Linked DNA regions of Drosophila melanogaster. The protein of the gene in region 2 interacts with the protein of the main gene of each other region in a pairwise test. Each region holds a gene or a part of one and is shown on either strand. Other genes may lie near its edges. The genes, in order: Pka-C3 and sws.

Region 1 (5,030 bases), on a different chromosome or scaffold from region 2:
TTCAAAATATTTTACACGCCTTTTTTAATTTATATATATGTGGGATATATGGGATATATACCATTAAATCAGACATTTTAGCATTTTATTCTTATTTATATTTATCATATTTATTTTAACATTATGACGAGTTAGATCTTCCACCTCTATTTAAATGTTTAAAGACGCATTAATCTACGAATCTAACGAACTTAATGACTGCATTAGCAAGATCTCAAAGTATCTAAAAAACCCACACTTTCCAACTTCCACTTCCACTCCAAATATCAAGATTTAGCCCGCCATGTGAGGTGTAATTTGCTAATTGTACTAATTAAATCGGCTCGCCTAATTATAGTACTCAAAGCTTAATCATCAAACGAATTTATCTCCACATTTTGTTTCTATTTTGGAAAGCAAGCATTTATGATTTGTTGCTGGCTGCTGGCTTCCACTTTTTACACTACCCACGATTACTCACCGAGCTAAATTTTGAGATCCAAATTTGCCGGCCGTCGTCGTTGCCTTTTGGTTTGGTTTTTGTTTTGGTTTTTGGTTTTTTTAGCCTTTTGGTTTTTGTTTTTCTTTTTTTCCTACTTAACGATCCCACAGCCGATCTATATTTATTGTTGTTGTTCAGGTTGCGATTGTCTGGTTGGTTGGTGAGTTCTGATTCTGATTTTTTGCTGGAGCAAAATTTGAACGCTTGCGAAATTGTTAAAAATAAATATGTTACTTTAAGAGCGCACGATTTTCCGCGACTAGCCGTCGATTTCGATTTTTCCTTCGCTTCTGGCCGGCAATAATAACAGAAAAAAAGGCGAAAAAACCGCTGAAGCCGACACAGAAACAGAAATAAACTCAACACTCAGCGTTTCTCGGCGGGAGGGGGTATAGGTATAGGTATTATGGGTGTTATAGGTATACGGGGGCCATAGGTATTATTTTTTGCGGATCGACTGGACACAGCGATCGCGATTTGCTTTATTTGTGTCACTTTTTTCGTGGGTTTTTCTTCGGTTTCTTTTAGTTGTTGTTGTGTGTCTAAAGGTGCCGCTTTGTTTTGTTTATATACGCTGGGATCGTGAGATCCGAGAGATCTAGAATTTCCGGTTTTTACAGCGCAACTTGCAGTTTTTCTTCGGTTTTTTGTTAGTTTCCTCCGCTGAACCAGCAGATTGCCAAATTAGTCCAACTGAGCGCAATTAATCAAACGTGATGATTGCAAACTTTGAATAGGTTTTGTTTTTTTTTTTGTTGACTAGTCTGAAGACCAATGTCAAATTTTCCAATTTTCTTTCGAATGATTTCTGAGTGTTCTGTGGTGTTTTTCTTGGGTTGACCAGCCGCTTCCACGTTTTGCACGAAACTGAAACGTAAAATCTGCGAATCGCTTGCCACAGCTCTCGACGTCGACGTCAGCGTCGCAGTTGGCAGCACAGTCGTGGTGGTTCGGAAAAGGGGGCGGCCTGGTCGGGAGGGGCGGGGCAGTGGGCAATGATGACGATGGTAATAATGATGCTTCTGCTGGCAGCCAAGGGGAGAGGGAGAGATGGCTTCGGGATGCTCGCTTGATAGTCGGATGTGTTTGTGTTTGCTCTCCATGTGTGCAGATATTTGGTTTTGGCCAAGTGTCCCGAGTGCCGTTCCATTTGAGGGCCTAAACGCTTTGGCGGCAACAGGATCATCGCCATCAGGATGGCGGAGGCGGTCCGGAATCACCGATGGCGATAAGGCGGCCAGCATGGTGTGCGCCCTAATTGACAACACCATCACGGAACTGAAAGTCTTTGCAGCGACCAAAATCTACATACATACATATATATATAATAATTAATCTAGAAGATACATACATTGACAAAAAAGTAGATATTTTGTCGCTGCGAAGACAATAATTTACATATTTTAACTGTTCTTATCATATTTTTTTTGTGTAATAACAACTTTCATTACTATCATAAATAAGAAAATGCAAAATTATATTTCTTATGAAATATCTTTTTATCTTTTAACAACGTTTAATAATAGATTTTATAGACGTTTTTATCTTACGATTTTACCTGATTATTAAATAAATATAATCCTAATGTTGGGTAGTTTTTGGATTGGTTTTTCTTTAACTGCTTTAACAGACACATTGCCTGCGAAAAGTCGGAAAATTGTAATAAATGTGGGATTTTCCCAAGTGTAGGAGTACCAGCAGACTTTTCGTCAGCAGTGAATTTTTAAATATTCCAAGAAACACTTATACCTATTTATGTTTGTGTTATTTCAACAAATATTAAGACTTTTGGTTATTATAGTAGAGATGGAAAATAATGCATACAGGATGTAATTCAGATATGAAATACATACATGATGTACATATTGTACATAAGTTAACCCTACGATTCAAGCCAGAAGTCGTTTTAAATCAAAAGGTTTATGTGTGTTTTTATGGTGGGGGTGTTTTTCCTCAGTGTCTTGTTTGTTTTCAGTAGACTTTGCGGCAGCGCCGATTCGTTGCTGAGAAAATCTAGAAAATATGTTTTGTGTATTTACGAGCCCTCTGTTTCGGTTTTAAGCAAACAGCGAGCGCGCCTCTTTAACGGTTTTCGGGTGTTGCGTTCGCATGTTTATGCACGTTGATTTCGCTGGCCGTTGTAATAAAGGCCAACAAGGTCAGGTGCAAACGAAATGCGAGTACGAGTGACGCCTGCGTGCCACAGTCTCATTTCAGGTGCCGCATACAATTGCCGTGTGCATTTCAATTTGATGTTATAATTAAGCGAAGGCAGGCACGAGATGTCAGCAAGCTTTGCGTTTACGTTTTCTGTGCGCGACTTTTTTTTCCCTATTTCACTATTTCGTTTTGAGGCTGCTTCAGTCCTGTTTGTCAAGTGCAAGGACACTGCATGCACTCACCTCTTTGAGTGGGCGTGGCAAGTCCTGCCCGCAGACCGGAAGCCGAGTCATGGTCGCCGCAGACTGTAAGGCATAAAAATGTTAGTATCCTTGCCGCACTAAGTATAATTGTGGGAAACAACTCACTTAGCTTCCAGCTGGAATACAAACCGCAGCCGAAATTTGCGAAGACACTTGCGCTGACTCTGCAAGCCACTAAAATACGTTCCAAAAATATATGCCACAAATCCATTTAAGGAAAATTTTGTTTATTCCCAATTTTTTGAATTTTCCCCCCTCGAAATATCGATGTATATGTATTGTCAGTTAAATGTTTTGAGTTGTCTGTACCAGATGGCGCCAGTGTTCTGAAATTCAATTTACTTTTATTAATGTATAGCATTAATTGTAATACTCTCTGCAAAGCCAACAAGATTTTATTTTTCATAAATTTTTTTGTTTTATAAATCATAACGTATTTTATTTATAATATTTAAAAACGGTTTTAAATTTCCCATTAGGATTTTTTGAAATGTCAGGACAGTGCCTAAAAGTATGCAACCTCATATGCAGTTTGGTATGATTTCCGAGCCGGTTGGTATATTTGAACGATGACGCCTGGTCACACTGCTACAAATGTCTTTCGCATAGTTTAGTTTATTATTACGCGCAAACAACAAATAGCTGACCCTTCAAAAACGAATTAAACAGCGAACATGCAGTTCTCTTGGATGAAGGTGGCCATATACCTTCTTACGTTCCTAACCTACGCCTATTCAGGCTATGGATCCAGCACCATAGTCCACGTAAGGTGCACCGCTTCTCGTAGGAAATCTGTGAGAGCTAGTATCTGTTACTCCTGTATCTTCTCTCCCCGGATTTAGCTAAGGGATGCCATTATAGCCGCGGAGGCGATCTTTGGTGACGTGTTCAAGAACCTGATAGTGCTGGTGCGCAAATTTCGCACGGTCCACGAGGTTTTCGATGCGGCCGTGGACGAGAACTGCATATACCAGTGCCCCGCACCGGATATCGGAGGACCAGGTGTGGTGACGCACTGCGCATTATGTAAATTCCCCAGCATCCATATGTGTGTTTATCTTACAGCGCCCAGAGCGGTTCAGAATAAGTTCTATACCCCCACCGCAGATGGATGTGGTTCCTTGGGCCTGAGGATCAGCACAGACTATCTGCCGGCCAAGGAGATGGAGACATGTTGCAATGACCACGATATCTGCTACGACACCTGCAATAGCGATAAGGAGCTGTGCGACCTGGACTTCAAGAGGTGCTTGTACAAGTACTGCGACAGCTACGAGAAGTCCATAGCCAGCGATCTGATGATGAAGGGCTGCAAGGCGGCTGCCAAGATGCTATTCACCGGCACATTGACCCTGGGATGCCGCTCCTATCTGGACTCCCAGCAGAGATCCTGCTATTGCGCCCCGCCGAAGAGCTCCTCCTACAATGGCAATAGGCAGGGTAATAGCAATAGTAGGGAGAAGCAGCAGCGCCAGAAATATGGCTGGAAGGATCGCAACGAGATATAGTACAGGATCACTGGCTACGAGGGTGCGGGGACCTGGGGGTATCGGATTAAGCGTTAAATGTTTTATGTGTTGTGTTAGTCTATGAATTGGGTAGCCATGTCCATTGGACTCCCTTTTTGACGAATTTCATTATTGTATACCAAATAGTGGCATGCCAACGGTCCAGACTGTTAAATACATTGATATTTTTACCTATTATAAAGATGCTATATTTTTAAATCAACTGTGCGCTGATTAATCACCGGTGGCTTATGCTGACGTGGTCCTTTGGGCAGGATATGTATATTATTTATTAATCATATGATCGACAAGTGTGTAAACATATTTTAACCAGGACGATGACGTATTTAATTTGTTAAGCTGCCTGGCCAAAGCTAATTTAATAGTACAAATAAATGAATGGAGATCAAACAAGAATTCTATTATATCAAAAATTTTGACTTTAAGTCAAACTTAAGTTTAAAACTAAGGTGGAACAGAAAATATCTCAATATTTTCAAGCTAAACAGTTATTTTAAGAAGCCATTTCTCGCGGATTACAGCTGAAGTGCCATCCTAGCTTTCCAACACTACTCAGTCACACTACACAACACTGCACTGACTGAACCGAAAAAAAAA
Region 2 (5,191 bases):
TGAAATCGATGTCATATCGAGCTGGTTCCAAACTTAACATTCTTAATAGAGCTATTAAAGGCTAATATAAAGAAAATCTATATATATATATAAGAAAATGTTTTTTTTTTTTTTTTTTGTTATTCTTGATCTAAAATTGAACTAAAAGTGTTTGAAGTGTTTGAAAGTGTTTTTGAAGTAAAATGAAAGGGTAATCTAACTATGATATAATATGCTTTTGATTCTATATGGTTTTTCACTTTTGCTGAAATGCAAAACAAAAAAATGTGAATTCTTGTACTAATGTGCCAACTCCTTTGCTAAATCACGTTTCTTAATTATTAATTAATTGGTTAATTAGTTTCCCATTCTTCTTCAGCTTATGACATTGAAACGAAAGGATATAAGGGTTTTTGATGTCGTCTCCAATATGATTTTCATTTCGTATTTTCCACGTCGCCCAGTTATTTAGGATGAATTATTTAGCACGAAGACACTTGGAATTTCCCAAAAGCAAGTGTCACGCCCGTGTAATCAAGTGCATCAGCTGTGTTTTGTTGTTATTTTCCCTAAATCTTGTTGTTGCACTCGGCACTTTGACATTGAAACGGCGACGCAACGTCGCTGCACATACATATGTATGTATGTATGTATGTATGTTTGTTTTATTGTTTGTTGCTAGCGGTTCTGAGTGAGTTGTTCTTGTTCGATGCGGTTGTTGTTGTTGCATTTGCTGTTTTTGTTGTGGCAGTAGTTTCTCGGGCAATTTGTTGTTGCTGCTACCCATTTGTTATTGTCTGCAGTTTCCGCATTTGATACTACACAGCGCGAAAAATGTAGCGTTTTCTCGCACTTCATTAAACGTTAATTATAGTGGCGTAGTTTCGATTTCTTTCGATAGAAATAAACATTTTTTTTTAATCTATAAGTTGCACATTTTCTTTCTCACTGTGCACCTTACTGTTTGTCTTTTATTACCCCCAGCAATTATTGTTTGTTTACAGTTTATTTTTACAACAGGTTTGCAAAATGTACAAGAAAAAATGCCATAAATACCAATTGACTCAGTCGGTCTAATTGGAAGCCGAAGCTGCGCCACACACGCACTTATCCAATTGGATTTGCTTTGATCTAATCGGACAGCACACACATACACACACTCGCATAACAACACGATAATGATAAAATTCGCGCAGTCACAAGGCGGCTAAATTGATTTGGCCCCAAGGGGTTAATTGAATTATTGAAAACTGATTTCGTACGCACCCCCCGCCCACGATTGCACGTGCTTCTGATTAGCAATCGGTTATCATAGTTATCAGCTCGGGTGGTTTAGTTTTTCTTTTTTTTTTTTTGCTTGCTTCGGGGTCGCCTGGGTGTCATTATCAATACTATGGTCGTGTGGTGTTATCATGTGGCTACTGTAGTCAGTGGTTTTTGTTTTTCATTCGTTTTGTTTTATGTAAGGCCACAAAACAATTTCGATTTGTGGCGACAAATGAAAACACGGAAGTTTCCCCTTTTCTCTTCCGGTTTTTCTCTTTTCTTATCATTTGGCTGGGTTCTAAGAGAGATTAGAGTCCTGAAATCCACACTTGCCTTAGCCTGTATCGTTCTAAACTTTAGCTGGGGTCTAAACTTCAATCCGCTGATAGGGTTTACTAGAACTAAGTTATGGTAAACTAGTCAGGAACAGCGACTATTTCGATTCTTCTACCTATAAATCTAAGTACTTAACCTATGATGTCTGGCCGACATTTATTCGTCAAGCTAACATTTTGTAAAAATTTTTTTTTAGAAAAATTTCCATAAAGATAATGGGATTACACATTAAAAAATCGCATACAAAATACAGTGGAATTTTCTAACAGGTGTTTGCTCTCAATACTCAAGTGGGTTTTCTTGAATAATGTCTGTTTACTTTACTTTAACTACTTAGGTCTGCTTTATCGCTCATTCTGTGATTTTTATCAGGGGACCTAATCTTTATGGATGTTGTCACAAAAAAAAGCTATATTCATAATAAAATTCTTGAATTATATAAAAGAATTGTGACGTGAGTACGTAAATACTTATTAATCTTATATTATATGTAGCCTGGACATGAACCTAAAACAGCTGTTATCCTGCTCAAGTAAGATCCACATGCTCTCTTTTCGCTCACGTTCTCTCTCCCGCGCGTTAAGCACGGACACAAGCCCGAACAGCTGTAATCCTGCATCGCATTTTTTTTTAAGCTTTCCAGCTGCCCTTCTAATCCTCGCGTCCTCTCGCTCTCGCACATATTGTCTTCCAACTGACTCACTCATATTGCAAACAAACAGCAAGCCAAAGTCAAAGCAAATAAAAAGACAAAGAAAGGGTGAAGTGCACTTACCGTTGCTGTGATCTGCTTGGAGACATATTGGCACCACGCGTCCGAGAATATTGTGTTGTAGCTGCCGCTGGCGCTGGCGCGCAGCATTTCCAGGACATCCATTGCGCTCCCTTACGCGGCCAGTTTTCCAATGACTCTGCTACGCTGTCCTTTCTCCCACGAAACTATTCGATTTGCTGTTTAGTTGACTCTTAATGTTGTTGTTGTTCTGCCTATTTTGGCTTATGTATGTTCCGTTTATTTGGTAAATACGCAAGTGTATGGATGGGACGGGGTACAGGGTGGAGGGGGCAAAGTAAAATCACAGCCCTTTGTTGTTGCCACCGTCGCGTTCTCTCTCTCCCTCGCTCACCTACTCCGTCCCTAGCTTGTTTGAATATGTCGCGCTCTATCGCACTCACATTTACAGACACCCCCGCCCCACGTTTGTCATGCCTTTTGTGCAATAATTGTTATAATGCACGCACCGTACCGCACAAACGCACTCACAGCCACGCACAGCGGAGAGCACAGTTTCTTTTGATTTAGATTATAAATCTTGTTGTTTTTGCTGTTACGAGAATCATCAGAACCAAAGCAATTGTTGTTTTTTTTTGTGGTTTCTTGCGGAAATCTTTCGTTTTGGTTATATATTGTTGTTGTTGCTCTCTCTCTGTTTTATTCTATCTCTCTCTCTGTCTTGAAGGCGGAGGCGGGGGGTGGTTTGCCGTTGGATGGGGGGGCGTGGCAACGTGTAACGAAAATGTTCTTAATTTACTGAGCCGAAATAAACGCGCATTTTGCTATGTAACTACAAACTAATAAACTGAAATGCACTCTAGAATTATTGTTATTGGTATCGATTCGCTTTGATGGTGGATTGAAAAACATCGATATGCCCGGAAATCGATTGTTTCACAGCTGTGTAGAGCAGCCCGCTAGAGTGACCATACAAAGTCGACTTTAGAACGGTTATTTCAAAATAATGTTAACCTTTCGAAAAATTTAGGTGTATGCAAGCCGAATTATTTGATTTGGAAAATAATACTTAGGGCGTCCATATCAGAAAAAACGTTTAGCCAATTTTAAAATTTGTGTTAGGCACGTTATGTAGTCAAATATATATAAATAAATTATTCTTATTATTTATAAATATTATAATAATATTTAATAATAATAATATAATATATATTCTTATTCTTATAAATTATTATTATTTTAATTTTTACAAAAGTGATATGCTGATATGCTTATAAATGTAAGATTCTTGTTTATTTGACTTTTTTTTTAAATTTCATTATCATTATTTCTTGCTTGACAACCCTATGTTAAGTGCGACACTGCGTTGACAACAGCTAAGAACATGGCTGTGGGGCGACAAACTTAGCAGAGCGCGCGCTGCTAGAGCTTAAATTGTATTTGAAAACAGTGCAGGTGAATCGAAAATGTCTTGGCATGCAGTCAAACATTAATTTGCGAGCATAATTAACTCCGCTTAAGATTGCTGGTAGTCAAGGAGCCGTGAAGAGCGGAGACGGCCGCTGGTAATATTCAGTGATTAACAACTGTAAAATCTAAAATCAGTATTAATATTCATGTGTGTTGATTTAAAGGATTTTGGTGAAATCCGGACCCGAATCGGAGCTGAGGTCCGAAACTAACGTGCAACATCCAATAAAAGCAAGTGCAGCTTGGGTTATTAGAGCATAAAGCATCTCCACCAGAGTCTCGGTTGCCAGCCAAGCAAAACGGCCGAGACGCGTCTTTCGGGTGGCCAGCTGCAGTCTCGGATGCAGTTTTTGGCTGCAGCTGCAATTAAATATGCAATGCACTTAAGTTATGCACATTTCCTTTGCCCAGGGACCGTTACGATTTCGTATTTTAAAAGCCGCGCGAAAGCTAACAGCGCTGTTGGCTAGCAGACGTCTGTTTCTGCTGTTGTTAGCCAACAGCCAACAACAACAAACTGGCTGTTGTTTCGAATGCACTGCGATCTTAGCTCTTTTCCCGCTAAATGTTTCTTTGTGTGTCATTTTGTCAACCATTCGATCGATATCGATATTCCTTTGTGAAGGCTAAAAATAAAATTCTTACATGCTCATCTTATACAATAATGGATCGCACATATAGCTACTCCTTTTTCATGTATCCAATTCACTAGGTAAGCTACAAAGATAGCCAGACGGCTGTGCTAACAGAGCGCTGCTATGGTGAGAAGCCGCCGCAATGGCAACAGTGCCATCTCTGGCCGGCGATACAAATAGCGCAACTTCGCTCGCAACGGGTTTCATTCCCACTGGAGTGCAGTTCGTGAGCGGTCGTTCTCTCCTCTCTCTCGCAAAAGTAAAACTTAAAGTTTTGTGCGCGCATGCGTCTCGTCTTAGAAAAACCTGCAATCAGTAATCTCGAATCGTGAAAATCCTTTTCTGCCATACCAAAAAAAGAGCCGGACAAAGCAAAGCGTTCGATTGCCTTCTGCCAATTTGAGCAGGAAATTACAAATTAATTGCCGCCCTGACCGTGATTTGTTTACGTTTTTTTCTTCACTTTTTTTTACATTGTGTGAGTGTGAGAAATTTGTTGGCCAAAAAATATTCCAGATATTCCCAGAGATATATATATTCGAAATTCGAATTGGCGAAGTGAAGGGTGTGACGACAGACGCACACACACGCACGCACACGAAAACGCACTGAAAAAACACCGGCTAAAAGGCAGACAAAAAGGAGACGAGAGAGCGAGTGCTAAATAGAAAACGCGAAAACAGGATAATAATCAGCAAACTAATACTATAAAACAAGCAACTAAGTGACATCTCGATCTCGCCGAGAAACAACAAAAACAACAGTTACAACT

What was found.
Region 1: the proteins of sws (region 2) and Pka-C3 interact in a two-hybrid assay, tested with the Drosophila melanogaster proteins (one study listed by BioGRID).

What each region holds. Positions count from the first base shown.
Region 1 is NT_037436.4:15,951,642-15,956,671, forward strand, and holds the start of Pka-C3 (protein kinase, cAMP-dependent, catalytic subunit 3), read right to left. Parts: upstream 3,157-5,030; 5' UTR 3,116-3,156; coding exon 3,010-3,115; intron 2,947-3,009; coding exon 2,884-2,946; intron 1,353-2,883; exon of another isoform or gene 461-1,352; intron 1-460. Other genes in the region: GXIVsPLA2, read left to right, coding at 3,579-3,668, 3,747-3,906, 3,970-4,412. UniProt on the Drosophila melanogaster protein: Does not have an essential role in development.
Region 2 is NC_004354.4:7,965,084-7,970,274, forward strand, and holds the start of sws (swiss cheese), read right to left. Parts: upstream 3,154-5,191; 5' UTR 2,459-3,153; coding exon 2,357-2,458; intron 1-2,356. UniProt on the Drosophila melanogaster protein: Phospholipase B that deacylates intracellular phosphatidylcholine (PtdCho), generating glycerophosphocholine (GroPtdCho). This deacylation occurs at both sn-2 and sn-1 positions of PtdCho.